Mus musculus: one gene and its partners. The protein of the gene in region 3 interacts with the protein of the main gene of each other region in a biochemical or structural test. Links are inferred from orthologs where the notes say so. Each region holds a gene or a part of one and is shown on either strand. Other genes may lie near its edges.

What was found.
Region 1: the proteins of Trim21 (region 3) and Ube2w are reported together in a solved structure, tested with the Homo sapiens proteins (2 studies listed by BioGRID, with this or other methods). The link is inferred for Mus musculus from reciprocal best matches to the Homo sapiens genes TRIM21 and UBE2W.
Region 2: of the proteins of Trim21 (region 3) and Usp4, one has a biochemical effect on the other in vitro, tested with the Homo sapiens proteins (2 studies listed by BioGRID). The link is inferred for Mus musculus from reciprocal best matches to the Homo sapiens genes TRIM21 and USP4.
Region 4: of the proteins of Trim21 (region 3) and Ikbkb, one has a biochemical effect on the other in vitro, tested with the Homo sapiens proteins (2 studies listed by BioGRID). The link is inferred for Mus musculus from reciprocal best matches to the Homo sapiens genes TRIM21 and IKBKB.

What each region holds. Positions count from the first base shown.
Region 1 is NC_000067.6:16,595,292-16,598,791, forward strand, and holds part of Ube2w (ubiquitin-conjugating enzyme E2 W), read right to left. Parts: intron 2,763-3,500; coding exon 2,660-2,762; intron 2,652-2,659; exon of another isoform or gene 1-2,651. UniProt on the Homo sapiens protein: Accepts ubiquitin from the E1 complex and catalyzes its covalent attachment to other proteins.
Region 2 is NC_000075.6:108,354,331-108,357,830, reverse strand, and holds part of Usp4 (ubiquitin carboxyl-terminal hydrolase 4), read right to left. Parts: intron 1,421-3,500; coding exon 1,290-1,420; intron 1-1,289.
Region 3 is NC_000073.6:102,562,683-102,566,704, forward strand, and holds the start of Trim21 (E3 ubiquitin-protein ligase TRIM21), read right to left. Parts: upstream 2,801-4,022; 5' UTR 2,707-2,800; intron 1,659-2,706; 5' UTR 1,590-1,658; intron 1,444-1,589; 5' UTR 1,408-1,443; coding exon 1,012-1,407; intron 680-1,011; coding exon 584-679; intron 1-583. UniProt on the Homo sapiens protein: E3 ubiquitin-protein ligase whose activity is dependent on E2 enzymes, UBE2D1, UBE2D2, UBE2E1 and UBE2E2.
Region 4 is NC_000074.6:22,665,084-22,668,583, forward strand, and holds part of Ikbkb (inhibitor of nuclear factor kappa-B kinase subunit beta), read right to left. Parts: intron 2,297-3,500; exon of another isoform or gene 2,278-2,296; coding exon of another isoform or gene 2,269-2,277; exon of another isoform or gene 2,251-2,268; coding exon 2,141-2,250; intron 958-2,140; coding exon 908-957; intron 829-907; coding exon 729-828; intron 554-728; coding exon 406-553; intron 1-405.

The DNA.
Region 1 (3,500 bases), on a different chromosome or scaffold from region 3:
ACTTTATACCCAAGGTAAAGACTTGCTTCCACAGGAAATAATCATTCACAGATTTTACTAAGAAAGGCAAAAAGAAGGCAAGGGTATGGGAGGGCGTGGGACATGTGTATATACATAGAGAGTGGGGGGGGGTGGAAAGGGAGCAAGTATAAGGTTTTGATTCTAGCACTGTGAAAAGGTATATAACACAAGTATAAACTAATGAAACATTATCCTATTGAAACAGCCCAGCTGGAAGATAATTCCTTGTTCTACAGTCCAAATCCTAAGATAAGAGAAATGGACTGGCTTAAAGATTGCAAAAAGATTGAAAAACTGTATCTAGGAATACATGAAAGCAGACAATTTAAAACAAAACAGAAGGTAAACAGAAACCCAACATATACAAGAATTTTTTTTCTATTTCATTACTGTAAACGATTAAGTTTGGATGCATTAAATCTGAAATGTCATTAGGGCTTAGTGGCACATGCCCTTAATCCCAGCACTCAGGAGGTAGAGGCAGGCGGATCTCAGTGAGTTGTGAGGCCAGCACCGTCTGCATAGTGAGTTCCAGAAAAGCCAGGGCTACACAGAGAAACACTCACTTTCTTGGGGGAGGAAAAACATTGGTATCCAAAAGACTTATGAAATTTTAGAAAGGTATGTACCCACAGCAGTGATCTAAATCAGCTGTTTAATTTATCTTAATATTAAAGAATGAAATATTGCTGAATAATAAATCTGAAATTATTAAAAATCAAAGGAGCAGGAAGAAAAGGAGAGAATAAATTTATTATAAATGGTGATTTGTAAATATTTAAATTTGATATCTGATTTTGAATAAAGGACTAAAGACGGAATTTGCAGAATGCTTTTTGACTTAGTTTTATGTTTATAGAAATACTATTTTCGTATGATAAAAAAAAAAATCTGTTCCTTCCAGAATCCTCACTAAGTTGAAGGCAGTGTCTTAGGGTTTCTACCCCTGCACAAACATCATGAACAAGAAGTAAATTGGGGAGGAAAGGGTTTATTCAGCTTACACTTCCCAGTTTCCTGTTCATCACCAAAGAAAGTCAGGACAGGAAGCAGGAGCTGATGCAGAGGCCATGGAGGGATGTTCCTTACTGGCTTGCTTCCCCTGGCTTGCTCAGCCTGCTCTCTTATAGAACCCAAGACTGCCAGCCCAGAGATGGTCCCACCCACAAGGGGCCTTTCCCCCTTGATCACTAATTGAGAAAATGTCTTGCAGCTGGATCTCATGGAGGCATTTCCTCAACTGAAGCTCCTTTCTCTGTGATAACCCCAGCTGTGTCAAGTTGACACCCAAAACCAGCCAGTACAGGTAGAAATAGCTAAGGGCACAAAGGTGAAGGATCTCAGATATTAGAGAAAGTAAATCTTCTTATTCCTATTCTTAGTGAGAAGGGAGATGGCTGTGCTTGTGACTAACAGACGCCTTTATAGTGACAGGTCATGGCAGCAGATCCCCTCACTTCACAGCTCTATAAAAATGGTCAAAGGAGCCTTAAGGCTTAACTTTTTGTTCATAGGACAACTTTGTAATTCAAGGAGTATTTAGTTAATCCTACCTCTTTATACAATTCCCTTTATAGCATAATGCAATAACTAATGTCCTTTATTTTCTCTTGTGGCCAAAACAATACTTAAGGTAAATTTAGAATATTAATTTGAAGGTGACAATGAAATATGACTTTACTCAAAATAGCACATTTCCACATAATCATATACCAAGTTGAATTTTAGGTACTGGTTTATTTTCCAGAAGACTTCATTACTTAGCAGTAACACAGAGGGTTGGCAGGGTTTCATTTTAGCAACACACCTCACAAAGCTTAAAATGTGAAATCTTATAATTTGTGGAGAATAAATAATTCAAGTAACTCACTGTCTTACAAGTCAGGAACCTGGAGATCATCCCAGAATCTCCCCCTCTCTAACATCCAATTAATTATTTACTAGTTAAATACCTCTTAAAAACATCCCCTGGGGCTGGAGAGAGCCCAACTGTTAGCAGCACTTGTTCTCCAGAGAACCCAGGTTCAATTTCAGCACTCACATGGCTGCTCACATCCAACATCGTCTTCTGACCTCCCAGGACATCAGGCACACATGTGGGGCACAGACGGACATGGAGGCAAAACCACTAGCACACAAAGCCCCTCCACAAGAAAGGTTTGCTTTTAATTCCACTACCAGCATTTTTCCTTGTCTAAGTATTAAACTATTAACTAAACTGCGTTTGCTTCAAACCATAATCATCAGATTTCAGTTGACTTCATGTATTTGACATCTGTAAACACACACTTGTTTTTAAAGACTGCAAAGAAAACACATCAATAGAAAACCAAAGGCAGTCCTAAAAGAGCCTTTATTGGTGTGGTCAGTGGTTCTAGAAAAGAGTCCCTGCAGCTATTACAAACGGTAACCTTCCCCATTGCTCATGAAACCCATGGATGACAAACCACTTGAAGCTCCTGGTAGCATGACAGATCAAAAGCCTCTGTCCCAATAAAATTCACAAAATCCTGACTTATGTAAAGATAGTTCTATCTACATATTTATATTGGGTTTGTGATATAGGTCTAGCTAGGCAAAAATAACCAATTTAGTGTTTTGCTATACTCTAAAAACACAATGGTACATGCAAGGTTACCTGAGGAGAGTCAAAAGGGTATCGACTACTAAATTTAAACAAAAGTTGAAATTTTTCCCCTTCATATAAGGTTCCTGGTGCACCTTCCATGTCTACGATCCACCTAAGGCAGGAAAAAGAAAAAAGGAAACAGATTTAAAACTTAAATGAAAAGGATTGAAATGAAGGGGAAAAGAGAACACTGTCCTGCCAGGCACTGGGCAGAGCAACCAGAGGGTAGTGCTGCACTTCACTCAGCAACTCTCATACTGCATTTTTCTCTTTGTAGAGAACTTTTAAAATGTATCATTATTGTGTATACTATGTATGATTGGGTAAATGTATTATTGTTGTATGGGGTGGAGCACTCACAACCACAGCATACAACATGCAGCTTTTTGACCCTTTCCTTCCACCTCTATGTGGGTTCATATATTGAACACAGGTCACTACCTTGTGTTTTGTTTTAATCTTTCTGGCCTTCAGAGCAGGGTTGTCTGTCTGTCTGGTGTGTGTGTGTGTGTGTGTGTGTGTGTACTAGGATCAGGACGATACACACCCTCTTACCTGCTGAGCTATCTCTCTAACTCCATAGTAATAACCTCTTTCCTATCCTTCTGTGACACTCTAGATTAAAGAAATCAGGTCAAGGTCAGAACCAGGCTTGTAAGTCAGATCTGAAACAAACTACAAATAACAAACAAATAAAAGCTCCAACATATGCTAATATCAGGGTCCATACTGGGCTCTTCCTTTCAGATCACACAATCTTATTTTCTTTCAAAACACTACTTTCTATATTAATGAAAACCTTTTTAGACAGTATCCTCAACCTCTTTCCTATCCTTCTGTGACACTCTAG
Region 2 (3,500 bases), on a different chromosome or scaffold from region 3:
TTTCTAGTAAGAAAAGCTAGTAGCTGAGAGACAAGGCAGTGATCTCATGTGTTCTGTCCACCAAAGGCACAAAGCTGTGTGTCTCAGTGTGAGAACTTGAGAAGTTCTCCTATGCATATAAACACCTACGTTTTTACTACTCAGCAGTACAATCAGACTCATGAGCACAGGGGAAATGGCTTTAGAAAAGTTGTTAGAGGGCTGGAGAGATGGCTCAGTGGTTAAGAGCACTGACTTCTTCCAGAGGTCCTGAATTCAAATCCCAGCAACCACATGGTGGCTCACAACCATCCATAATGAGATCTGCCGCCCTCTTCTGGAGTGCCTGAAGACAACAACAGTGTACTTTAATAAATAAATAAATCTAAAAAGAAAGAAAGAAAGAAAGAAAGAAAGAAAGAAAGAAAGAAAGAAAAGAAAAGAAAAGAAAAGAAAAGAAAAGAAAAGAAAAGAAAAGAAAAGAAAAAGAAAAAGAAAAAGAGAAGTTGTTAGGTAAGCATGGTGGCTCACACTAGTTATCTCAACATCCAGGAGCCTCAATGAAAAGGCTCAAAATGGTCAAAGTTCTAGGCCTACTTGAGCTATAAGTGAGTTCAAATTTGGCCTGGTTAACTCAGTACAACACCATCTCAAAGAAAAAAAAAAGAGGGCTGGATATAGCTCAGTGCTAGGACACTCAGTGAGTCATGTATTCTATTCGGCCCTAGGTTCACTCCCAGTCCTGGGGAAAAGGAAGCGGTGCAAGGTGCAATGCATTCGATTATGTCCACACAGCCCAACTGAAGAGCTGGGTTCCAAGTACTATGGGCATTCCAAACCAGCAGGCAGCTCTTGTATTTGGAGGCCACTTAGGAACATCCTGAGTTACTCACAAATACTTCATATCCCAGAGAGAAGTAGAATAGTCATTCAGGCCAAAATTCCAGCATACAAGAGGCAGGAGATGACCAGAACAAGACCAGCCCGGGATACACAGAGATCCTGTCTCAGGAAACATAAACAAGGTCTAAAGCCTGGTACATCTTTAATCTCAGTACTTAGGGATCTCTGAGTTTGAGGCTGGTTTGGGCTACATAGAAAGTTCCAGAACTACTTACTAGTAAGGGATACTCAGAAAAACCCTGTTTCAAAAACAAAAACAAACCAAAATCCAAAAACATTACAAAGTCTCACCTGCTTCATTTTCAACCATGTAACCGTTTTCATCCTCCCGGGAAATAAAGAGAAGTCAGTGTACCCAAGGAGAACTCACATACACACCTAGCAGGTCTAACAACTTGTCAACTCACTTTTCTGACAATAGGCTGCTGGCCCTCCACACAGCCATACCAATTCAGCAATTTATTCCAGGCTTCGGCTGGGACCAGCACATAGTCCAGCTCATCGATTAAGTGCTCCTTCAAGGTCTGACTCTCAGGATCTGAAAAAGGAAATCAGGGCAGATCTCATTTTTCTTTTCCCCAGAAGTTTCTTTTTGTTTGGTTGCTTGTTTTTTGAAACAAGATTCTTATGTATTTTTCATAAGAAAAGATTCAACAGGAACAAGCACAATATTCCAAAACACTGTCACTGGCTACAAAACAAAGCAGACCTGCCCACTCTTTATCCTGAGTCTTGTTCTATGAGGAACTTGTATCTCTTCTATAATGAGAGAAAAGTGAGCTGGAGTCCGTGGTTCATCCTCATAGTCTCCACTACGCAGGAAGCTGAGGAGGAATAGGTTAAGCCCCGAAGTTCAAGGTCAGCTTGGGCAACACAGCTAGACTCCATGTCAAAAAGAACAAGGAGGAAGGATGGAGAGGAAAGGAGCCTCTCTGTTCATTTTCTTCTTCTGAAGTCAAATGTATTGAAGGTGAACATGGTGGTGCACCCTTTAATCTGAGGACTTGGGAGGCAGTGGTAGGTGGATTTTTGTGAATTTAGAGTCAGCCTGGTCTATGTAGGAGCTCCAGGACAGCCAAGGATATATAGGGGTAAAAAGTAATTCTAAAATAAAATTTATTGAGCTATATTTTAGCCATATTTTTTGCCTTTCCCCAAGCCCTCCCAAATCCCCTGCCCTACTTGCCCCCTTCTCATTTTTGTCGTCTGTTTTGAGGGTCACATGCAGTACAGCGTGACCTTGAATTCTACACAGCCAAAGATGACCTTTAATTTCTGATCTTCCTGCCTCCACTGCAGAGATGACAGGAAGGAGACTGGAGGGAAAATGAGCCGGGGAGATGGCTCAGCAGGTAAAGGTACTTGCTGCCAAATCCATGAACTTGAGTTCAATAAGAATAGGTTTTTGTTTGGCTTTGTTTTTCAAGACAGGGTTTCTCTGTGTAGCCCTGGCTGTCCTGAAGAAGAGAGTACAATGGCTAATAATTATAAATACTTATAATAGCAATCCTATTGATAGTGCTTGAACTCAGACCCCATCTACACATGAAACATTTACTAAGAAGGCAAATGAATGAGGTGCTGAGGGCTGGGAGGGGGGTGAGGGGTGGGGGTGGGTAGGGTATTTTCTTCCCAAGCAACCATGCCCACAGCCCTCAGTTCAATTCCCAGCAACCTCATGGTGGCTCACAACCATCTGTAATGGGATTTGATTCCCTCTTCTGGTGTGTCTGAAGACAGCTTCAGTGTACTCATATACATAAAACAAATAACCTTTAAAAAAAAAAAAGAGTTCTCATGGACACTGTGTGGAATGGAAAGTAAATATGTAACATGTTGAACATGCATTTTACACCCATCACAAAGGTATATGAAACACTCAGCGGAAAATCCAACAAGATTCATCACCTGTCAGCCACAAAGTGTACTCCCTGCTAAGCCTGTTTATCAACACCCACACTGAGGATGACAGAAGTCACTGATCTCAGACCAGTGTAGACAAGAAAGTACCCGTGAAGGTGCAACTCAGCTGTAACCCAAGGCAGATGATTTTTTTTTTTTTTTAAATAGAAACCAGGTGTGATAGCACACACACTTGATTCCTGCACTCAGAAGGTAGAGGCTGGTGCATCCCTGTCGAGTTCCAGACCAGCCAGGTCTATATTGTAACATCTTGTCTCAAGAAGAAAAAGCCGGGCATGGTGGCGCACGCCTTTAATCCCAGAACTCGGGAGGCAGAGGCAGGCGGATTTCTGAGTTGGCGGCCAGCCTGGTCTACAGAGTGAGTTCCAGGACAGCCAGAGCTACACAGAGAAACCCCGTCTCGAAAAACCAAAAAAAAAAAAGAAAAAAAAAGGAGAAGATGACAGGCATGGTGGTAGTATACATCTGTTAACCCTGTGCCTAGCAGACGGGACAGGAGGACCAGGTGCTGCTAGGGTGTCAGCTACAGAAGGAGTTTGAGGACTGGGAACAAGGAGGTTGGAGGTGACTCTCCTGAAGCGCTGTCTCTGACTGTCTCTGGTCTGAAGTCAGTACAGAGATGCTTGATGTAGACCTACAGTCTGACCTACTTCACGTGTACCCGGCCTAGCCTACGTCAGGCTTCAAAGCAAAAC
Region 3 (4,022 bases):
TCAAGTTTTTGCTACTCATTTGGGGTCTGTGATTGGCTGTGAGCCTCTCATTCCTACCCAGTTTCAGATGCATTTCATTTTCTACCAGCAAATTCTCACTGTGACAGGCTTTAGGTCCCTAGCAGGCTTTGGACTAATAACTTGCTCACCATCAAGCAGCCACCAGGTCAGGTGGACTTCCTATCACAGACCCAAGAAACTAATGTTGACTATGCTGTTCCCTGAGACAGGGTCAGAAGGAATGACGAAACCTTAAACTTTCTCCAGAAATTCTTGATATTTGTGCCAGATTGGGGAAAATCCCATCTGATTTTAAGCTTCCTTCTTTCCTCTTCCCTCCCTCCCTTCTGCCTCCCTTCATCCCTGACTCTCTTCTATCCCTCCCTCCTTCCTTTCCTTCTCTCTTTCCTTCTCCTCTCTTCCTTCCTTTCTTTCAATTCCTCTCTATCTGGAGTCACAGTGTGTGGATGGGTCTTGGAGAGTGACCTATATAATAACTCTACCGCCCCTTGGATAGGCACAGTCATGGTTAAGGCTTGCTTGAGGTCAAGACCTGGGACACAGCCCAGCCTACAGCTCTTGCCTTCCAGTCTGTTCTTTGCATCGTGAGATCCATTTCCATCTTCTCGGCCAACTCTTTCCCCTTTCTCAGTTTTTCTAAAGCCACGTGGATCTTCTCCTGTAGAAAAAGATGGCAGGTTAGTCCCCAGGTTGGAGGAGGCAGATGGAAAGACTATGGAAGAAATCTAGTATGTCTTAACAAAAACAGAGTTACACCAATGGGTAACGGGATCTGGGCCACTGCATTTCTAATGTACCCGGGAGCCACGAGGAAGCACGATGCATGACTCCTTTCCCATGGCTTTGCCTCTGCTGCTGAGAAATAAAGTTGTATTCCATACACAAGCTCCTCTCAATGAAGGGAGAAATTATCCCTTCATCCCCCAACTTCTCAGCCACCATTCTGGGGGACAAAGTGGCTATGTTCTTTAGTCTGTGCTAAGGCCTTACCTGGTATACCTTAGCAGCCTCTTCAATAGGGACCCTGGTGTGGTCCCGGTGTTTCCCAGACTGGGCACACACCCAGCAAAGGGCCTGCCCATCTTCCTCACAGAATAGGTGAAGCTTCTCTCCATGCTTCATGCAGTGCGTTTCCTGGGTACTCTTCTTGGTATTCTGGGCTATCTGTTTAAGGTTTTCCACCATGTTGGCTATATGTCTATTGGGCCTGAGGTTTCGGAGCAGAAACTGTTGCCGGCACTCGGGACATGAACTGCCCCCATTCTTCCCAACTTCAAAAATGCATTCCTTGCAAAAGCAATGGCCACATTCGATACTCATAGGCTCCACCATGGGATCCAGGCAGATAGAACAGGTGACCTCCTCCCACATCTTTTCCAGAGACATTTTTGAGGTTGTAGAGGGTGATATCTGCCGTGGAATCTTGAGAGATGCAGAGGGGCGAAGAGATAAAAATGAGAGTTTGTAGGACAAAAGCAAAAGCAAGGCAAACCCCAAACTCCCCCAAATAATGCCAAGGTGGACAAGCGATGACACAGGAGGGAAAGGCAGAAGGCAAAAGCACCAACCTGAATGACAGGAGCCTCTCCTCCGGCCTCACCCACTGAGCAAGCCAGGCAGAAGGGGAAACCGAGTTTCTAGAAGAGACAGAGAAAACTGGTGGGGGTAACGCTGCTAACAGCTCCACCGTCACCACACCCATCCCTGCTTAACCCTCACTGTCTAGGCGTCTCCCATTTCCTTTCTGTCATCTTATGCCTCTACTGCCCAGAGACGTCAGTCATGGCAGTAACGACCATTTACCATATCACCACAGACCCTCCATATTCCAACCAGAGTTAGCTCATACTAGTCTTCATTAATCTTGGCAGAAACCACAGGGGTCAGGCATTAGGAGTCAAGGTTTATGCAGCTATACATCATAGTAGACATTTTGTCAAATATGACAGGCTGCACATATGGTGGTTGTGCAATAGGCAACACAATGCAGCCTAGGTGTGTCATTAGCGACCCCACTCAGGTTCATGTAAGATGTCATTCATTATCCGGAGTACATTGTCTAAGAGTATATGGCCCAGTTATAAGAGTTGCATGTGTGTATATGCATGTTTTTATATATGTATGTACACATATATTGATGTTTTTATATGCAAACTATACTTGTGCACAAATGCATCAATGTAGGCGTGCCCATATGTTCCCCTCTATAAATGTCTATGTACATAACATGCAGGTGTGCTCACCGGTGAACATTTTTGGGGAGCACTCCCTGGGCTCTTCTCTAAGCTGCTCCAAACCTAGTCTCAACTTCCTTTAGGGTGTGGAGTATCTTAAATCCACAGAAATTTCTACATGGATAGCACTCTCCTCAAGCAGGGATCTTCAAGGGGTAAGGGTTTCCCTGAGCTCCCCTCTGGCCTAGGTCACCACCCTGCTTCTCCTGCCCTTGCTAGGACTGTCGTCTCAGCTAGTCCAGGGCACTAGGAAAGTCACTTTCAGAGCCCAGCTTCCACAGGCCAGCATGGGCAGCTCTGCAGGGCTAGGACAAGACAACTCTGATGAAAAGAAGCAGCAGGTGGGTTCGCAAATTCCCGAGTGTGGGGTGCTGATGGGAAGAGGCTCCTTGAATCTGGTGTGGGGATAAAGAGCCCACCTAGGCCGGCCAGGGGTCCCAGTCTCACTCACCTAACCAGGGTCCTCAGCTTTAGTTATGTGCTCCCAGCTTCGCTTTTGCAAGCCTGCAGTCCAAATTTCACTTTCAGTTTCCTCTCAGAGGCAGGTCTAGCAGGAAGAGGGAGGAGCAAGGGGAGGAGTGAGGAGTTGAGTGGCAAGAGGAGGTTAGAGGCAGAGAAGGCGGAGGCTGGGCGGAGACTGGGCAGAGACAGGGCAGAGAGTGGGAGGAGAGAGGTCAGAGGTGCAAGAAACTGACTCCTGGCCACAGGCAGGGAAAAAACTCAGTACCTGTCCTCCTGGGTCTCTCTAAGGCCCCCTTGTCCCCTTTAACAGAATGTAATCTACAGGATATCGATCTTTGACACTGGTCTTTTCTTCTTACCTGGGAGCTTCTGAGAGAAGAGGTCTGAATGGGAGAGGGAGGAGTCACCATCTGTTTCCTACAGGGATGGATAGCTTCCCCCAAGACTGATCCCGCCACCGTCACTGTTTTTTATTAGTATATATTAATTGTACAGAGTACTTGAAGTATACCCATTTCCCACCACTCTGTTGTGTGATTTTGCTCTTTTCAAATAGTTTGGGGCTAGAAATTTATTCTTTATGATGTCAAGGTATGTGTTGTACCAGTGAAGGGAGTTAAGACTTATGGACAATTGATATTGTATTATAACTTGCGCTAAAAACAGCAGTGGAATTTTCCTCGCTATTTATTATATTTAGGAAACAAAACCATTCTGTGATTTGAAATTTCTAGTCCTGTTTAAGAGATCTCTCTTAGTGAAAGGCCGCCAGGCAACATCTACTGTCTAGATTGTGCTGTTGTACTGGGGCTTGGTTCCTGGAGCACAACAGTCCTAGAAAGCAGAATGAAAAAGAGTCAAGCATCCGAAAGGACGAAGACATCTATAAACATCAGAAAACGACTCTGCTTCTACCACGGAAGGTCTGCTGCTATTTCCTGCAGGCAAAGAACTTGGGTCCCAAAATAAGGCAGAGGGTAGAGTCAATGTCTATTTTGCTATTCACCACCAGAGGATGCTCTGTTTCAGTTTACACACTGGATAGAGAGATTAATGCACACCCTAGGGGTGTGCTGATATATACTCTATAATGTGCACACAGGACTACTAACATATTGTACTCAGAGCTGCCTCAGCTCCCACCTTGGTAATTGTTTGAAGACCCCACCTACTGAAGACCCAAACTCCCTTCACTCACAGATAGTACTTTGATATTTCAAACTTCCCTCTCCCTGACAAAATGACCCAAGTCTTTATTTGGGAAGAATTAATGCTATTGATATTATTGTCTAGCACATTATTAGT
Region 4 (3,500 bases), on a different chromosome or scaffold from region 3:
CACAGGGCAGACATCTTTTAGCTGAGATTCATCTCTAGCTCTGAATGTCTTACACGACACATTCAGATGAGACCCTGGTGTCAACTGAAGACACAGATACAGGTGAGGAGCCGCTGTGGGGGTGGGGTGGAGGTGGCTTTGCCCTAGATCCATCAGAAGAGATACCATTTTGCTGACAACTGGATTCTTAACCTCTGGTCTCTGAAGCTCTGAAAGAACAATGTCTGCTGCCTGGAGCTCCTTGTGGTACGTACAGTAGCCACGTGGGCAGTAAAAACACTCACATAAACCCTCCCTTCCGGAACCCTCCCTGCCCACTCCATGCCACAGGTCAGCCTGTGCCTCCTTGGAGGGCCATGGCAGTGCGTGGGGAGGAGACCTGAGAGGCCGGAGTAAGTCACTCACACAGGCGATCTTCAGGAGGTTCCAGAGTTCCTTCTGCCGCTTCTCCTGAAGCCGGACCACGGTCCTCTCGTCCTCGTTCATAAGGCTCACTACCTCTTCTACCTTGGGCAGCAACTCCAGTGCCTTCTGCTTACAAACCACGGTCTTACTGTAAGGACAGAGAGAGCCACACTCCCGAGAGCTCTGGGCCAGCACAGAGCTGTTCCCAATTAGGATCGGTTCTTCACTGTGTAGGCAAGGCAGAGCAGAGCGAGGGCATCCATCTGCCCCTTGTCTTTGCTTGATTCTCCATCCTGTCCTGGAGGAGGCGAGGGAGTGCCTACCTGAGCTGTGTATAAATCACCCGAACTTTCTTCTCAAAGCTTTGGATTGCCTGAAGCAGCAGCCGTACCATCTCCTGGCTGTCACCTTCTGTCCTTTGGTCTGCAGAGGGGAGTGGCATAGTTCCTCCTACTGGCCTCCAGGGTAGACCAGTGTCTCAAAGACAAGACAAAGCATGTACCTCTTGGCTTCTCCCTGAGTCTTCGGTAGAGCTCCCTCGCTTGTTCCTCTCTGGAAGAGGGAAGGCCAGAGTCAAGGCACACCAAGGACATTTAAGCACCAGCCTGCTAACTCTTGCCAGCGGATCACTACTCTTTAGACTACTGGTCATATGCTCTCAATGGGAATAAAACCTGCCAGTTATGGTAATATTTATAAAACCCAAATGCCACAAACGAGAACAGCCTTAAAGATTACAGTCCTCTTCTGCTTAGCTACAAGAGTGATTCAAGGTCACTCTTGGTCACCATTTCTGGACCTGACCAAGAAAATACTTGCCCTCAAAAGCCTAAGTCCAAAGCTAGACATGAAGGCCTATTTCTTCCTCTAACACAGGCAGGCTGGCAACAGCCTCAGAAGGAGGCTCTAACTGATCTCGGTTGCACACACAGGAAGCTGAGGTAGTAGGATTTCTGTGAATTTGAGGCAAGTCTTGACTCCCTAGCGAGCACAAGGTCTGGAATACTATGGAGTGAGACCCTGTTTTGGAACAAAGAACACCTGCACACACATGTGCACACACGGACATCCATATACGCATGTGCACAAAGTGCAGATTTTCATTTGGAAACTTGAAGAACGAGTAAAGGGTTACTGTATAAGAGACAATGGAGAACAAATAATTCTTTGTTTTCAGATGTCTCACCCTAAGAATTCTAGTAAGAGCATCAGGTGACACTGATCCCTTCAGGTGACAGGGCCCTTAAACTGACCCACCTGCCTAGAGCCCTCTGTGAGCACACAGGGCAGCATGCTAGGGTCTCCAGGCAGGATGGATCTGCTTGGTGCCCTGACTCCTCTTGGACACAGTGCCAAACTCTTGGACTCGGTGGGCTCCTCCCTCAGTTCTACTTCCTGCTCTGGGAGCCACACCTAGAGCGCTGGGCTGTCTGAGCAGGGACGTCTGCTACCACAGACACGTGCTCGTGTGTGTGTGTGTGTGTGTGTGTGTGAGCATGTGTGTGTGTGTTTCACAACCTTTAAAAGTTATCAGCTGGCTCCTCCCACTCTGGGAGGACACCTTTCCTTGTCACTTCACAGGGACAAGGCTCAAAGTGACAGCCATTTGTCACAACTTATCCTAGAGAATGAGCCAAAGTGATTCACTAGGAGCTATACCCCACAGAACCTCCTGAAACTCTACAGGGTGTCAATGTGCTCTGTGTCAGTGTCGCCCCTCCCCAGTTATACTCACAGGTCATCCAGGGTGCCCCCCTGCTTCCGACCCATCGGGCTCCTCTGCAGGTCCACAATGTCAGTCTGCAGTGCCATCATCCGCTCTACTAGATGCTTCACGTCATTCTCCTGATGGGAAAGCTGTGCTCATGCCACCTGATGGACAGAGGGCATCCTGGGAGGACAGATGGGATGGGCAGGCTGGGGAGACCCTCAGCTGACTGGCTAGAAGGCATGTGTGTTCAGGAATAAGTTGCTCCAAGCTTGGATCTCATGGCTACCACTTTCTAGCGTGAGACCCTCAAAAGTTCCTTAACTGTAAGCCAGTTTCCCCTGCTAGAAGCAAACTTTCAACAGGGCTTAACGGCATAGGTAAAACCAATAGAATAAGCTCACTGTCGGGCAGAGATGATGTCCAGTGCAGATTATTGTCTTCTTTTACTGTGTCTACCAAAAGCGGGTGCTAAAGCTGACTATCAAACTGGCGAGGAAGACACACAGTTCTTCAGAATTAGACAAAAGGAACTACATACAGGGCGAACATCTTTGAATAAGATGCATCACTGTGACTGTATGCATATGCTCATGCGTGTGTATGTGTGTGTGTGTGCTGGCATCTGCGTACCACAGTGCCTATGTGTGTGGCGGCTGGAGAACACTTTCAGGAGTGGAGTGTCTCGTTCTGTGTTTCTGAGGCAAGTCCTTCTTGTTGGTTCTGACACATTGTGTACTTCAGAGGGGTTGGCCTGTGAGCTTCCAGCAACTCTCGTCTCTGCCTCCCATCTCGCTGGAGGAACACTGAGACTGCAGGTGCATGCTATTATCAGCTTTTTAAAAGGTGGGTTCTGGACATCAGACTCAAGTCATCAGGCGTAAAGGAGCAAGCACCTTTACCCACTGAGCCTTTGACTGGCCTCATGTCCATGTACCTTTAGGTAAGTGTTGACCTACTAGGTCTCATTTACAGTTACATACTAGGACCCGGAGGAAAAGGCCCTGTCCAGTGCACAGGAATTGGAGCGGGAGAAGCTCTGGCAGGCGGGGTCTTGGATCTGTGCATGATGCCTCACGTTACACTTCTCTAGCCTTGTGAAGAGGAGTCTGAAATGGTGCCTAAGGCATACTATCCTGAGACTTCTGCTTAGACCCTTTCTTCCTTACAGATTCCATGCTTTGGCAAGTTTGGGAGGAAACCCTGTGAGGCGGGAGCAGGAAACCTTGACTCTCCCAAGGGCACCTGACACTTCTTTACTAAATCCGGAGCAACTCTGCCCAGCTCTCAGGTCTGGGCATAGCGGGGCTCTCTCGTCTCTCTATGCTGCGTCCGTCCAGCAAGTCAGGTTAGGGTCAGAGGATGTGTTGAGGAAATGCTCAGTTTG